3 linked regions of the Caenorhabditis elegans genome follow. The protein of the gene in region 1 purifies or fractionates together with the protein of each later gene. This does not show direct contact. Each region holds a gene or a part of one and is shown on either strand. Other genes may lie near its edges.

The links. Proteins that work in one complex are often made in the same cells at the same time.
Region 2: the proteins of smrd-1 (region 1) and rpa-1 fractionate together in Caenorhabditis elegans (co-fractionation; one large-scale study listed by BioGRID). This does not show direct contact.
Region 3: the proteins of smrd-1 (region 1) and C16A3.6 fractionate together in Caenorhabditis elegans (co-fractionation; one large-scale study listed by BioGRID). This does not show direct contact.

Annotation. Positions count from the first base shown.
Region 1 is NC_003281.10:10,432,145-10,437,925, reverse strand, and holds the start of smrd-1 (SWI/SNF-related matrix-associated actin-dependent regulator of chromatin subfamily A containing DEAD/H box 1 homolog), read left to right. Parts: upstream 1-1,937; 5' UTR 1,938-1,942; coding exon 1,943-2,065; intron 2,066-2,109; coding exon 2,110-2,170; intron 2,171-2,227; coding exon 2,228-2,390; intron 2,391-2,445; coding exon 2,446-2,511; intron 2,512-2,766; coding exon 2,767-3,178; intron 3,179-4,130; coding exon 4,131-4,784; intron 4,785-5,449; exon of another isoform or gene 5,450-5,583; intron 5,584-5,781. Other genes in the region: enu-3.1 (ENhancer of Uncoordination), read right to left, coding at 368-580, 695-1,036, 1,095-1,154.
Region 2 is NC_003280.10:7,662,463-7,668,170, forward strand, and holds rpa-1 (putative replication factor A 73 kDa subunit), read left to right. Parts: upstream 1-2,119; 5' UTR 2,120-2,129; coding exon 2,130-2,213; intron 2,214-2,265; coding exon 2,266-2,319; intron 2,320-2,367; coding exon 2,368-2,449; intron 2,450-2,493; coding exon 2,494-2,599; intron 2,600-2,641; coding exon 2,642-2,886; intron 2,887-2,928; coding exon 2,929-3,230; intron 3,231-3,282; coding exon 3,283-3,378; intron 3,379-3,427; coding exon 3,428-4,312; intron 4,313-4,357; coding exon 4,358-4,471; 3' UTR 4,472-4,648; downstream 4,649-5,708. Other genes in the region: F18A1.7 (Chondroitin proteoglycan 4 domain-containing protein), read right to left, coding at 347-458, 509-776, 825-1,127, 1,175-1,292; lir-2 (C2H2-type domain-containing protein), read left to right, coding at 5,544-5,588. UniProt on the Caenorhabditis elegans protein: As part of the heterotrimeric replication protein A complex (RPA/RP-A), binds and stabilizes single-stranded DNA intermediates, that form during DNA replication or upon DNA stress.
Region 3 is NC_003281.10:6,377,187-6,381,729, forward strand, and holds C16A3.6 (Protein MAK16 homolog), read left to right. Parts: upstream 1-2,262; 5' UTR 2,263-2,275; coding exon 2,276-2,664; intron 2,665-2,716; coding exon 2,717-2,839; intron 2,840-2,888; coding exon 2,889-3,348; 3' UTR 3,349-3,483; downstream 3,484-4,543. Other genes in the region: nfx-1 (Transcriptional repressor NF-X1 homolog), read left to right, coding at 6-1,015, 1,066-1,416, 1,473-1,823; C16A3.5 (NADH dehydrogenase [ubiquinone] 1 beta subcomplex subunit 9), read left to right, coding at 3,605-3,655, 3,767-4,207; znf-622 (C2H2-type domain-containing protein), read left to right, coding at 4,460-4,543.

The DNA.
Region 1 (5,781 bases):
CACCTGAATTAAAAAATATAACACCTGAAGTAAAAAATGAGTGCGCCTTTAAGAGCTACAGTAACCCACTAAATCACTAAATCCACTAAATCATTCAACTGAAAGTTCCTTGATGTCGAAAGAGAAACAAAATTTGACAAAAAAAATTATTGTCAGAGAAAAGTAATAAAAGTGAAATTGTGTGGGGAAATAAATACGGACGGGGAGTTTGAAAAATGAATGGGACTATACGAGGTCATAAATAATACAATTGTGGGGAACGATGAGCATAGAAAAGGGGAAATGGGGCTCCATAGAAAAATAAAGGACCTAAAAACGGGGGAAAATCAAAAGTAAGTTGAGAGGCGGTCGGGGGCTCAGAAGAACTTCAATCGCGTGGCTTGTCCACAGTGACGACCGCTTCCGGCGCCTCATCCTCGTGCTGCTGATCGTCTTGTTCTTCTCGCTTCCGGTCCTTAGAGACACCAATTCGCAAACGACACAGCATCTCCTCATCCTCGTGCTGCTTTTCGTCTTGTTCTTCTCGCTTCCTAGCCGCCATCTGCTCAGCGATGAGCTCTTCAAAATACTTCTTCTGCTCCTGAAAAGAAGGTTTCGTATGTTGAAAGTTGTCCACGTGGAGTACGCAATTCGCTTTTCATTAAATATAACTTAAATCAATAAAAAGCTAGGCCACTGGCAAAATTTCACTTACCCTCGCCTTCTGATCCTCGAGGTAGAAATACAAAAAAATGTGGAAAATGACGAAGGCGATCAGGATGCCACATCCGATGTACTTCGGCGTGTCCTTGTGAAAACTGATCGTGCGTGACGGGCAGTGTGTGCCGTTTCCATTTTTGCAGGTTTCAGGGCTCGCCGAGCTCACAAGAGCAAGCTGCGTCGTATTGGCGGAAAGAGCGGTCACGTTTACATTTTTCGTCGAATTACCGGCAGGAGCGGTCGCATTAGGACTTTTTGTCGAATTGCCGGCAGGAGCGGTCACGTTTGAAGTGTTCGTAGCGGCGGAAACAGGCACATTTGGTGTGGTGGTTGTTGGCTGAAAAATGGTGAAACATTATGGTCTAGAAAAATCGAAGGATGTCTAAAAAACTCACTAATACATGAACTATTAATCCGAAGATTACCAATGAAAACAAAATACGCAAAATACGCATTTTTGTGTGACGCGTGTGTCGGAGAGAAACCGATTTCACAAACTAATTTAAGTTATAATTTGTTTATTTCAATCGCTACGTGTGCCACGTGGCCACGCGTGAGTAGGGGCAGGGACTATTTCGCAACCACCGCACACTTTTTTCGCAAGCCTCGCACGTTTTTTCCATGATATTTCCACGAAAAGGGGAGCAGAACGAAAAGGGGATCTGCAAAAAGGGGATCTGCGAAAAGGGGAGATACGAAAAGGGGAGATACGAAAAGGGGAGCAACGAAAAGGGGATCTGGCACTGTGCCAAACGCTATTTTTCTCGAAGAAAACGATACAACGATGCTCCGATGTTACGCGTCGCGTGTTGTTAAGCGTATCTTCTAGAAGAAAATTTCAAAAATCAACGTGCGCTGCGTGAGAAAAATTGCGTTTTGTGCGTTTCCCCTTTTCGTTGCTCCCCTTTTCGCAGATCCCCTTTTTGCAGATCCCCTTTTCGTTCTGCTCCCCTTTTCGTGGGGCCTCGGAAAAAATGCAATTTATATTAAATTAAATTTAAATTCTGCTTGCGGTGTTTGCGTACCGCCGAATTTGTCGTAAGGTTCGGTGTTTGCGTACCACTGCATTTTAATTTCGTCTACTGTGGCGGCATAGGATTTATTCGAAATTCCCTCATTTTTCATTGATTTTTTTGGGTTTTCTTTGAAATTTCCTTTTATTTATCAATTTCCCCAGCTATTTATCATAATTTCCCTCTTATCCACCATTAATTTCCCCTAAAAATCCCAAATTCTAGGATCAATGTCAACGACGAGCGATTTTCAAACCGGAGAACGGGTGCGTGTTGCACATCAAGGCAACCCACAATCCTCTAGCTTACAAGCCGATATGGACGCCAAAAAGGCGCTTTTGTCTCAAAATCTGGTAAATTTTCCGAATTTATAGCCTAAAAACCGATATTTTTGCAGAATAACGGCCACTTGACAGCTAGGCCTCCAAGGACAACCGGTCCCGGAATCAAATACGGTGGTACGTGGATTTTCATGATTTTAAAGAGGAATTCATTGTTATTTTCCTATTTTTCAGAGAAAAAACCAAAAAAGCAGAAGGGCAGCGACGATGACGATGAGGATTACGTGGATGAGACGATGCCTAGTGAAGATGAAGAAGATTTCGATAATAATGAAGAAGACGAGGATGATGATGATTATGAAGAAGAAGGTCCAAGAAAGCGTAAAGCTCCGTCAAAGTAGGCGTGATCGATTTTTGGCGGGAAAATTGAGATAAAATTGATTTTTTTCCAGGAAGAAATTGGTATATCCTCGAGAAAACTACCGACGCGAGGATTCTGAGACACCCGAGCCAGAGATGTAAGAGCGGAATTTGCGATATTTTTCCACCTAAAATAAACAAAAGAACAAGCCAGCCGCTGAAAATTTGGAAAAAACTGGTTTTTACATTTTAGGGTTTTTTAACGAAAAAAATAAACTGAATTGATAAGAACTCTCCGAATTTTCACTGAAAAATTGAACTTTTGACTTTACAGAAATTCAAAAATGTCTCAAAAACGAATTTTCGATTAAATTTTATGCTGAAAATGAAAAAAAATGCAAAAATTATTTCAGGAAACGAATCCGAACACTATCGGATTCCAGTGACGATGAATGGATGACAAAACCACGGCTAAATGGTTCAGAATCTCCAATTGGAAATGTAATGAGAACTCAAATGGCAAAAAGATCGGCCGCCTCGAAGAGAAAAATTGTAATTGACGATGAAAGTGAAGATGATTTTATCAATGATGAAGAAATATCAGAGAAAGGATCAGGAAAAGGATCAGAAAAAGAGGAATCAGAAGGATCTGGAAAGGATTCAGAGACTGAAGAGGTTACAATGAAACAGGGACAAAGTCTGAAAGCGGCAATGGCAAAGGCTCAAAAGGAACAGAAAAAGAAAGCAGAATCTGATGAAGATTGGGAAGAAGATGAAGATGATATGAATGCAGATGGTGATGAGACACCTTCTGATGACAGTGATGTATGTAGAAATCGCTAAAAATATCGTGAAAAATGGCAATATTCGAACGATTTTGCTCGAAAAAAACTATCGAAAATTTCATAGAAATTCGATTTTTTTGCCAGAAAAAATATGAAAATAGCAATTTTTGAATTATTTAGACTGAAATTAACGGAGATCTATAGAAATAAAATTGTAGAACCTTATGATGACAACGATCTAAGCAGAAATTGCTCAAAAATTCAATTTTTTCGTTTTTTATTGAAAAAACGCAAAAAAAATCAGGAAAATTCGATTTTTCTCGAGCTAGGAGTTTTTTAAACTTGAAAATCAGAGAAAATTTCATTTTTTCGAAGTATTTAGCTCGGAATTAACGAAATTTTCAAAAAAAAAACAAATTATTTTCGAGCCAAAAAATATATTTCGAAGAATAATTACATTTTTCAAGAAAAAATCATAAAAATCAGAGGAAATTCCATTTTTTGAAGAATTTAGTTCAAAACTAACAAAAATTTCCTAGAAATTTGATTTTCCAAGAGCTAGAAAATGGGAAATTCCGAAGAATTATGCACGTAGCTGGAAATTGGTCAAAAGTTCCATTTTTCATGTTATTTTAAATCAAAAATACTTTTAGAAAAATTAGAAAACTCCAATTTTTGCAGAATTTAGCTCAAAACTAGCGGAAATTTCTGGAAAATTAGTTTTTTTAAAGCTAGAAAATTGGAAATTCCGAAGAATTTTTGAAAGTTTGTTCTAAAATTGATTCACCAAAATTTCAAGACTATGAACAATTTACTTTTTTTCCGAGAAAAGTTGAGAGTTGAAAAATTTGAAAACATCGATTTCTCACTATTCAATTTTACAAAAAACTTCAAAATTTAGAGAAAATTGAATAGAAATTTCGTTATTTAAAATATTCATTCGCAAATTTGAATATCTTGCGTAAATTGATCAATTTTTCGAATATTTCCAGATAGAGGAGCGTCGCGCGAAACGTGGTGAAACAAAAAACCAAAAAGAATGTCGAGAATTCTTTAATAAAGCAAAAAAAGAGGATCTCCTTCAACAGGCTCGAATCAACGATAAAATCGCAGATTTCGTTCTCGCAAATCGCCCATTCGAGATCTACGGAGCTATGGTTGCCAAGATGAAAGGAGTTACACGTGGTACAAATGCAATTGAAGCTTATATGGAATTTCTGGAAAAACGTGGAATTTTATCGAGAATTTTGGATGATTGTAAAGATCACGCACATACAGTAACCAAAGATTTTGAAAGATGTACAGAAGGACCTCTACAACTTCCGCTACTCAAAGAAGGATGTACACTTCATGATTATCAACTTATCGGTGTTAAATGGCTTATTATGATGTATAATAAGGATTTAAATGCAATTCTCGGAGACGAAATGGGTCTTGGAAAGACTATTCAAATTGTTGCATTCCTTTCATATTTGAAACAAATCGGAAAAACTGGACCTCATTTGATTGTTGTACCATCATCGACTATTGAGAATTGGATTGGAGAATTTCATAAATGGTGTCCGAGTATCCAATTGCTCACGTATTATGGAAGTCAGGATGAGAGAAAACATTTGAGGCATCGGGTTAAGAAACAAAAGGATCATGTGCGTTTTTTAAAAATCTGAGCTTTTTTTTCCAGAAAAAATGGGATATTTTTTTGGGGTTTTTAGGCTTAAAAAACAATTTTTCGGTGTTTTAGAGGTTTTTAGATTTTTTAAATTCCTATTTTTTGTGGCTGTTTATAGAAATTTTTGAACCCAATTTTTCTAGAAAAATCGAGCATTTTTCGTTTTTTTTTAAACATGAAATCCCGTTTTTCGTGATTTTTAGGAATTTTTTAATGAAAGAAATTTTTTAAAATTAATCTTCTGAAAAAAAGCCAAATTTTTGAAGCTCTGATCAAAAAATAGGAGAAATTCAATGAAAACTGGCCAATTATGAAAATGTAGAAAGTTTTTTTTATTTTAAAAAATTGGAATATTTTTCGGTGCTTTTCGAGGCTTTTGAAAAAACTTTTATTGTCGGTTTTAGGGTTTTTTAAAAATGTTTTTTCGGTGTTTTATGAGTTTAAAATTTAAATTCCTATTTTCTGGGTGTTTTTAGGAATTTTAAAAATCAAATTTTTCCAGAAAAATTGAGAATTTTTCGTTGTTTTTAGGAATTCTTTTTATGAAGAAAAAATTCTAATTAATATTTAGAATAAAATGATAACTTTTTGAAGATCTAACCAAAAAATAACAGAAATCCAATGAAAACTGACTAATTATGAAAATGTAGGAAGTAGCGAATACGAGTTGCCACGTGTCAGTGAACAACTCACAAATCACATTCTACCGATTCAATTTTCCCCATTCTAAGCCACCAATGACGTCCTAAATCATTTGATGGAAAGATAATGGGGGCCGCGTAGGTTTGAACCAGCGACATTTTACTCGGAAAACAAGCTCACATCCATTGAGCCACTTGTGCGCAATCTCTTGAGCCACCTGATTGCACATAAATGCGCCGCATTGCTCAGGTTACTTGACAGCTGCTCTCTCTCAGAGTTGACATGATTTGAATATGCGCAAAGGGCGAAATTGGACGATTTTAATCAAGAAA
Region 2 (5,708 bases), on another chromosome or scaffold:
TCCACGATCCTTACACTCTCATTAACTTAATGCGTTCACAATGGAAGAGCGATGGAAGGGAATAGATTGACTCATCAAAATGCGATTATTGATCGATGAATTGAACTTGTCAGCTGTTTTGTCGACCACGCGGCCGAAATTCAGATATTTCGGCCATTTCAGCTTCGATAGTTGTACAAAATGTCACGAGAATTTTTTTCGGCTTTCATCCGCGTTTGAGAAAATGATTATTGAAAGCGGTTTACAGTTTACAACTATTTATTCGATATATCAACATATTTGTGTCGGGTGATTATTTACAATTCGTGGGTTTTAGTGAGTACTGGAATCATGAAATGAGATGCGATCAAATGTTATCCATGTTAAAAGCCTTGAAATCGCCGTTGCGAATGCGGTTGAGACGAGTTGGGTTAATTGCAAAACGGCATCTTTTATCGATTTTCTTACTGATGACATCCCTGAAATGTTTAGTTACATAGCATATTTAATAATGATCGCACTAACTAACCTCAATGCTGGTGACAATTGATCAACCATTACAGAAACGGCATCGAATGGTTGCATAAGCATGTCCAGACTAAGCCATCCACTCAAGGCACACTTGCTGTTGAGTCGCTTGGTGACACATGGGAGAGTACATTGCAGAGAGTTACAAAGTTCTCCAAGATGATCAGCAACAATAAATACATTACCTCCAACTGTAGCAGCGAATTTAATGTTAGAATCTTGAGCGAAAGCAGTTAGGTTTGAACGAGCATAGCATTCTTTGTCGCAGCCTGAAAACGATTTTTTGATGGTGGGCAATTTTTCAGAAAAAAAATTACCTGACATGATATCATCAACGACAGGGTTGAGACACGACTCCATTCGCTCAAACAGAACGTGCTTTGTGGCACACATATATTCAACACTGCTGCTGGCTTTTGCGAAGAGCTTGTTGTGATCACAGTACTGTTCTTTCTTCAGACAAGTGATAGCCTGTGCATGATGACCACAGACTTTGCGAGCTTGATGTACAACATTCTTCATGTTCCACAGAGACGTCGTAGAATTGATGAACGGGTCGATGCACTTTCGCATGCAATATGGAACTCCAAGAGCGCGGAAAATTGTGTCGACGTCGAGGGCTGAAGTGAAACTTTAATCTTAAGCACACAATAATCTAGTTTTTTACCTTGTTCTTCGTGTGGCACGACATCTTTGTCGTCGTGTACCGATTCGATGGCACCATTTACACACGAGAAGAACAGAAAGATGGCGGGAAGGAAGAAGGCGAGATGGAGATGGCGCATCTGGAATTATGTAGAAGTTTTTTTTCCGAAATGGGGGTTAGATATTAAGCAGTTTGAAAGTGGTCTAAAAGCTTTCGAAAACTTTTATAAGCTTTCAAGAAGGTCATATAAGGAAAAGAACAGCTAGGTAGAAATGAAGTGGGTAACTGATATAGCCGAAACTTTACATAATTTATAAAATGAAAATTTATCAAAACTGACAAATGAAAATAAAACAAAATCCGAATTCTTTATGCGACTTTTCTGATTTCAAAATTTAGCGCGTCAATAGAAAAGTTAGATCGGCGGGAAAAAACAATTTCCAAACTACGGTTTTGATGGAGGTCTCGAAGCGAATACCGTACCCGGCAAGATTTACGCAGGTGGTCCGAGCCATTCATTTTTTTCTTTTTCAAATGTGAATTGCTTTGTTGAGAACCTGCAGAAAATCTTCATGTTTGGACGAAGTATTGACTTTTAGAATGTTTTTGTTCAGTATTTTAACCCTCTTCCAATATTGCGCTGCCATAATTTCGATTCATGCGATTTTGGCCGATGTAAAACCTTCATCAAAATTTCAACAATTATTATTGTAATCTTTAAAACTTCTCAATTCCTTTTTTTAATATTTATTTGTTTTCTCATATTTTAATTCAAGTTGTGCTCGATTTTCTTTGACTAACAGAAATTCCCGCTTTTCGGCACACATTTCCCGCAAACATCACATTCTACGCCATTTTTTTTGGCGCGTATCCGGCCTGTAGAGAATTCAAAATTGAATCGTCTCCCCTTCATTTGTTTCTTCATGTTTCAAGCTTTTTTCCCCAATTTTTATGTATCTGTTTCAGATAGTGAAAGATGGCGGCAATTCACATCAATCACGATGTCTTCAATAAGTATCATACTAACGGGAAACTTCGACTTACAACAGGCTATGTTCAGGTAAAGAAATCAATGTAGAAAACCAGGAAATTTAATTTTGATGAATTTTCAGGAGGCTATCGAAAACAATGGATATCCTGGACATGATGGAATCGTTCAAGTTTTGGTACTTTTGACTAATTCAAAAGTTTCGCAATAATTCGATAATTTTCAGAAAGGCAAAGTAGAGCAAGGAGAGCAACTTGGTCACGCATTCACTTTCAGAATTCGTATCTCAGACGGTGTTTTCCAATACAGTAAGTGAGTTTGTTATACTCTGATATTTATTTATGCTTTGAAGATGCGCTCATGTCCGCTGATATCGATGACCAAATCAAACGTGAAGTTGAGCATCTTGTTGAGGGAACAATTATCGCTCTTACTAAATTTGAAATCTACGACCAAGGGTGAGATTATAACATTATTGAGTCCTTCAATGTATTTTTCAGAGAAGGTGCTAAGAATTGCTTCCTGATCAAAGGATACAAAATTCTTTCTCGCTATCATCAGGTTTTGACCTCTCCAGAAGTCAAGCCAAGATCTCATTCTGGCAAACCTGATGAGCACAAAGGCTATAGACCAAATATTATCATCGAAGATGTTTGGCCTGAAGCTGAAGGAATGGCTGCTGATTACCAGGAGAATATGGCAAATCCACCAGCAGCAAAAGCGCCGAAAAGAGAATTCGGAGAAGGTAAAATCTAAGAGTTGTAATGTGTGTAATTCGAGTTTTCAGAAGCCTCATACAATCGTGCCGCTGCTCCAGAGGCTACACGCGCTCGAGCTGTTCCACCACCAGCACGCCGTACCGCGTCGAACACAGAAAGAGGCGTGATGCCTATTGCAATGGTTACACCGTACGTATCGAATTTCAAAATTCACGGAATGGTATCACGCAAGGAGGAAATTCGTACTTTCCCAGCGAAAAACACGAAAGTGTTCAACTTTGAAATAACCGATTCAAACGGAGATACAATCAGATGTACCGCATTCAACGAGGTTGCTGAGTCCTTGTACACCACAATCACCGAGAATCTTGTTAGTATTATTTTAATCGGATTATGCATAATAATTAATTTAATATTTTCAGTCTTATTATTTGTCTGGTGGATCAGTCAAACAAGCAAATAAGAAGTTCAACAATACTGGACACGACTACGAGATCACACTTCGCAGCGATTCTATCGTTAGTAAATTTAAAGCGATTCATCATAGCTAAAATATTAAATTTTCAGATTGAAGCTGGAGGTGAATTGCTTGCTGCTCCAAAGCTCATACTCAAACGAGTGAAGCTAGGTGAAATCGCTGGATATGCTGGACAACTGATTGACGTTCTCGTCGTGGTTGAAAAGATGGATCCAGAGGCTACCGAATTCACTTCAAAGGCTGGAAAATCTCTGATCAAGCGAGAAATGGAGTTGATTGACGAGTCTGGAGCACTTGTTCGATTGACACTTTGGGGAGACGAAGCAACAAAAGCACTTGTTGATGACTATGTTCAAAAAGTAATCGCATTCAAAGGTGTTATTCCAAGAGAGTTTAATGGAGGATTCTCTTTGGGAACTGGGTCAGCAACTCGTATTATTTCGGTGCCAGAAATCGCTGGAGTGTCTGAACTCTATGATTGGTACGCAAACGTGAAACCAACCACTGAAGTTAAGATGATGAGCCAAGCTGCTGGAGGATCCAATGAAGCTCCACGTACTATTGCAGGACTCCAAGAAATGCAATTTGGAAAGGATTCCGACAAGGGAGATTACGCAACTGTCAAAGCAATGATTACCAGAGTAAATCCTACGAATGCTCTTTATAGAGGATGCGCTTCAGAGGGTTGCCAAAAGAAACTTGTGGGAGAAAATGGTGACTACAGATGCGAAAAGTGCAATAAGAACATGAACAAGTTCAAGTGGCTGTACATGATGCAGTTTGAACTTTCGGACGAAACCGGACAGGTCTATGTCACAGCTTTCGGAGATAGTGCTGCGAAGATTGTTGGAAAATCAGCTGCGGAGCTTGGAGAATTGCACGATGAAAGCCCAGATGAGTACAACGCTATTTTCGAACGCCTTCAGTTTGTTCCAAAGATGTGGAGACTTCGTTGCAAGATGGATTCGTACAATGTAGCTTTATTTCTTGAAGATCCGTTATGATTGTTTTCTTTATAGGAAGAAGTTCGTCAGAAGATGACTGTCTATGGTGTGGATGATGTCAATCAGGACAAGTACATCGAAAATCTGAAGCAAATGATCGAGCAGATGCAACAAATGAGTGACTACTAAATGTTCTGTTTTTTATTACATCGTGCCGATCTCGACTGTTTCATTTAAATCTAAAAAAACCTAAATATTATTAAAACCTTTTTTGAGCCTAAAGTTATCACATGTCTCACATCCACAATCGCTGATTTTGTACAATGTTTTTCATCTCATTTACTAGCGAATAAACTATACGATGTGAGCCTATCTTTGAGTGCCAGGTGACCTCGAGATGTGTTCTGAAGTGACAGCATTGGGTCGTTGCAGCGTCCTTGAGAGCGGGTGACTGCCCGACAACAAATGGCCTTGGGTTGCCACATTTATCCTACGTCTCTCTGCCCACGACCACATTTTCCATTGCTAACCCGCAGGTTCGTGGGCAGCCAGCGAGCTCTTTGAGCTCTCTTCGTCTATTTCTCTCTAACGCTGTCTTTTTTTTTGTCTTATTTTCCATGAAAGACATTGGCGGATTAGTGGAAAAGACTAGTGACTTTCATTTACAGAAACGTCTTTTATCACCTGTTTTGATTTTCCAAAAAAATAAATTCCGTAATGATTTTATTATGTTTCCAAACAGTTGCAATTTGAACACTCCTTTCAAATTGTTCGTCCAAACTAAGCCGTGCTGAAAGAAAATTTCCGTCTTATATTTTGAGTGTAGCTTTTCTGTTGCAGTTGTTAAGATTTGTCGATGCAATTTAGGGTTATGCAGCTGACCTTATGGAGTGTCTGGGAGAGCACACACAAATGCGTTCCCAACAGAAGGTGTTCTCCGTGTCTATTCCCAATAAAGGTCATCTCCATATGCTCATCCCGTTTCTTTTCACCTAATACGTTTATTCGCAACCTTTTCTAGTTATCTTCAAAAAAAAAAGGTTCACGAATTGTTTTCCTCAATTTAGAGTTTAGTGGTGTCACAGTATCCCATCTCGGTTTTTTATTTGAAAATTGTGGGAATTTAATTCGAATTTGCTACCCAGGAAAAATGTCTGGAAATTCCCGGATTAAGCTGGAATGGGACACTCTGACACCACCCGTCTCCCATTTTATTTTCAATTTCTAAAAGTAAAATAGCATTTTCAGATCAGTGACAGTCATGTTGGCAGCTAATGGCCCCCGAACTGCGAAAATCAGCCGAGATGTAAGTTTGGTTTGAATTAGCGCCAAGTGCAATATTCCAATGGAGCACAGTTGTTGATGGTCACTGTACCTTTGAAACGGCGTTTTGCGGTTTTCGAAACTCCCCGATGATTGGCGTTGA
Region 3 (4,543 bases), 4.1 Mb from region 1:
TTCAGCTGGTGAATATCTCTGCACAAAAAGATGTCGAAAAAAGAAGTCATGTGGAATGCACAAATGCCAAGAAGTTTGCTGTATTCAAGATGAACATTTTTGTCTGCAAATGTGCAACAAACGACTTTCTTGCGGAATTCACACATGTGAGAATGTATGTCACGCTGGACAATGCCGTCCGTGTCTGCAAGCCAGTTTTGATGAGCAATTTTGTCATTGTGGTCACACAGTTCGAATGCCTCCGATTCCATGTGGAGCTCGTCTACCAGTGTGCTCCCAACCATGTGTCCGTCCACACAGTTGTGATCATTCTGTCTCTCATAAGTGCCATGGTGAACAAAACTGTCCTCCATGCACACAGCTCACCGAAAAAATGTGTTATGGTGGACATAGAGTTCGCAAAAATATACCGTGTCATATCGACTCAGTTTCATGTGGCGTGGTTTGCAAAAAACCCCTCAAATGTGGAGTTCATGTGTGCCAAAGAACATGTCACGGTGAAGAATGTGAGAAAGAAGGGGAGAAATGCACGAAAAAATGTGAAACCATCCGAGAGCTTTGCGAACATCCTTGCGCACTTCCATGTCACGAAGATTCTCCGTGTGAGCCAAGCCCATGCAAAGCAAGTGTGAGAATTTCTTGTGAATGTGGACGAATTAAAAAGGACGCACCATGCTGTGAAGTTGATAAAATGATTCTATCAAAACTCGAAAAGGAAGAAGAAGAAAAATCTGAATCGGATGGTGAAGAGAAAGTGGTCAAAGAAGGAATTCTCAAGCGCTCAACAAGTTTTTCTCAACTTAACTGCATGAAATGTGATGACGAATGCAAGAAATTGGAAAGAAATCGAAAAGTTGCTGAAGCTCTTGAAGTTGATACAGATGAATATGGAATGAACAAACTCGCTCCAACTATTTCCTTCCCTTGTTATCTGAAAGAGATGGTTAGAACCAACATTGATTTCGTCAAATCTGTTGAAAAGATTCTCATTGATCTGGTTATTCAAATTCTAAGTGTAAGCTACCATTTGTTTAAAATTGTGGGCATACATATAGTTTTTTACAGGGTGAAGCCTACCACGACACTTTTCGAGCTCACCTGCCAGCAATGAGTATTGAGAAGAGAAGATTCGTGCATGAATACGCCAACTTTTTCAATATCGCCTCAGAAAGTGTAGACAGTCCACCAAAAAGAAGTATCGTTCTCACAGCAGTACGAGGAAAATCTCATCAGCCTCTCGTTCTCATTAGTGATCTTGTAAACTACAAAGGAGCTCTAAAGACGCCAGGACCTGCTGTTATTAGAAAAGATATAATGGATCAAGCTTTGAGTAAAAAAGAAGAAACAGAAGGTCTCATGAAACCATTAAGATGTACGGAAAAAATGGTAGTTCGGAGAGAAGCTCGTCCAATGAAGGTAAATATATAATTTTTGTCTGGCATTGTTCAGATTTCAATATTTTTATTTTCCAGGAAATAACTGCCCCAATCCCATTGAAACAACAAAACCAATTTGCTCTTTTGGGGAGCGATGTCGATTCGGACGATGAAGAAAGTAACGTTCCGACAACAAGTAATTTAGTATCTTCACCTCCAAAAGATTGGTGGAAAGACGAGGAAGAAGGGTGGCAAAAAGTGCAACAAAAAGAGTATGTTGTTGAAGTCGAACGCGATATGACCGAAGATGAGATTGAGGCGGCGAAAAAACTGGATGAAGGTCCCACATGGGAAGATCAATGTGACGAAGATGCACCAGCAACAGAAACCAGTTCAGCTATTGAATCTCCAGCGAAAGAGGAGCCGGTTGCTGAATTACTAGAATAAAACGTATTAGATTTTTTACATGCACTATCACATCAATTTTCGATGTTACTATTCATATCCTCAATTGTACGGTGTAACAGTTTGTTTCAAGTACATTTCCATTGTTTTGAATACTTTAAAATACGGTTTGCTTGTTTTAACTAATGAATAAATATTCTCTGGTGTTTATATTATTTTAATTGCGTTCCTGTGGCCCAGTTATTTCCTGTGAAAATATTTGTTTGAGACTTTAAATTTTAATTGAAAGATGAAAATAGAGAGAAGGCGCCTTAAGGCACGCGGGACTGACAAAGTGTGCAAACACCGCCACGCGAAGACGCACACTTTCGGTTCTTTCACAATTTTTTTGCCCGTTCTTCTCAATCAATTCTTGCTTCTTTTTCCTTTTATCGAAGTAATTCTCGTGTGAAAAACAACTCAAAAAATTCGAATTTTTCAGAAACTGGGTAAAAATGCAGTGCGACGATGTGACTTGGAACATTCTCAACAAGGGACAATGCGCCTACAAAGCGTGGACAAAGCCAAAAATGTTCTGTAAAAATGAAATGAATTTGACTGGTTTGTGCAACAGAGCTTCGTGTCCATTGGCTAACTCACAGTATGCAACAGTTCGTGAGGAGAACGGAGTATGTTACTTGTACGCAAAAGTTGTCGAACGATCTCACTATCCACGTCGTTTATGGGAAAAGACAAAGTTGTCAAAGGATATGAACAAAGCATTGGAACAAATCAGTGATCAACTTCTTCATTGGAGTGAATATGTTAGACACAAGTGCAAAGCTCGTCTCATCCGAATTCATCAATATTTGATCAGAATGCGTAAAATGGCAGTCCGTGGAAAGTAAGTTTAAACTTATAGAAACTGAATTTTGCATAGTATTATTTATTTTCAGCCAGAAGAAACTCATTCCAATTGGACGGAAAGTGGAAAGACGTGAGAAACGTCGTGAAGAGAAGGCACTTGTTGCAGCTAAACTTGATCACGCTATTGAGAAAGAGCTCTTAGCCAGACTTAAGTGAGTTGATATATTAGAAAGTGCACATTTTGAATGAAACAACTTTTAGACAAGGAACATATGGCGATGTTTACAACTTCCGTCAAGAGGCATTCGAACAAATGCTGGAAAACACTGAAAAAGAGTTGGAAGTGGAGCAAGAACTCGAGCAGGACGACGCAGACACGGGTGAGACTCAGTTCGTCGCTGACTTTGATAGTTCCGACGATGAGGATCAGGACATGGAAGACGGAGGTGATGGACATTGGTCACCAGGAGATACTGACAGTGAGAACGAGGATAATTGGCAGCCAGAACAAGAACAAGAGGATTCGGATGAAGATGATGAGGAAGGAGGTGATGAGCCAATGGAAATTGAGGAGCCACCAAAGAAGAAGGTAAAGAAGGAGCCGAAGAAAAAGACTGGGAAGAAAGCTGCTGATGGAAAGAAGAAGAAGCTCAAGAAACGAGCTCATGTTGAGATTGAATACGAAGAAGAAACGGAGCCACGACAAAGGGTCAAGGCATAAAACTTCGCATTCCATTTTGTCTGTTATCGTTATTTTTGTTCTTTTCTTTTATTCGCCCTCTTCCAATTGTGTTGTTGTTATTTGCTTTTTAATTTTTAACTCTTTTACCCAAAAATTCAAATGAAAATTGTTACTTTTCCTTGTTTACTAAAAATTAAACTGATTGGTTTTTTTTCCAATTTTATTTTATTGTTCCAATCACATATTTTTGTACTCTATAAAACCCATTGTTTTCAGAGAAGACCGGGAGGAAGCCATGGATTCGCCGGCGTGGATGTTCACGAAGGCGCTGAGCCATAGACAGAAGGTAATTTTTATTTTTGAAAAGCTTTAGTCGTTTGTGAAATTGGTAGCGTTGTTTTTTAATCTGATTGGAGATTTCGTCTGTTTAAAATGTAGCGAATTATTGCATTTTCAGGTCACCCGCCTCTACAAACGCTGTCTTCGCGAAGTTGACAACTGGTATGGAGGAAACAATCTGGAAGTTCGCTTCCAAAAGTGTATTATCCGTGCTCGATTCGACGCTAACGCTGATGAGGTTGACACCCGTAAGAGCCAGATCCTTCTTGCCGACGGATGCCGTCAATTGTGGGAGAAACGTCATTTCAAGCCTTTCCGTTTTGCTCTCGATCCAGGAGGTTCCAGTTATGATCGTGAACGCGAGTCGCCGGATGAGATTGTCGATTCGGATCAATGGACATTGGCTGAACGTGAACAGTTCCCCTACTACTTCAATACTCGTGAGCAGAGAAAGAAGGAGTTGCTGACTCACTGGGCCAAAATCGAAAAAGCTTGGGATGAGGAGATCGCGTCAATTCAAACCCAACTACCAGCTGCTGCCCCAACTGTTTCCAAATAGGCCACTATGAGGAAGTAATGCGATTGATTTTAAGTAGAACGAGCTCACTCGTAGACCGAATAATTTTGTTTTGTTTTTTATGAATTTAACGTCACTGAACAAATAAATATAGCTGTATTTTCATTGTATATTATCATTTATTATTCATCTGTTTAAATGGTTATTGCTGACCATTTGCATATTTTTTCCAATTTATTTAAATTTCTTCTTGTAAGCTTTAAATTAAACATTTTATTACAGAGATCTATCAGAATGGATGGATCTACAGGGTTCACATGTGTAACATGCCGTGTCGTCTTCGAGACAGCCGAGCTGCAGAGAGATCATTACAAAACC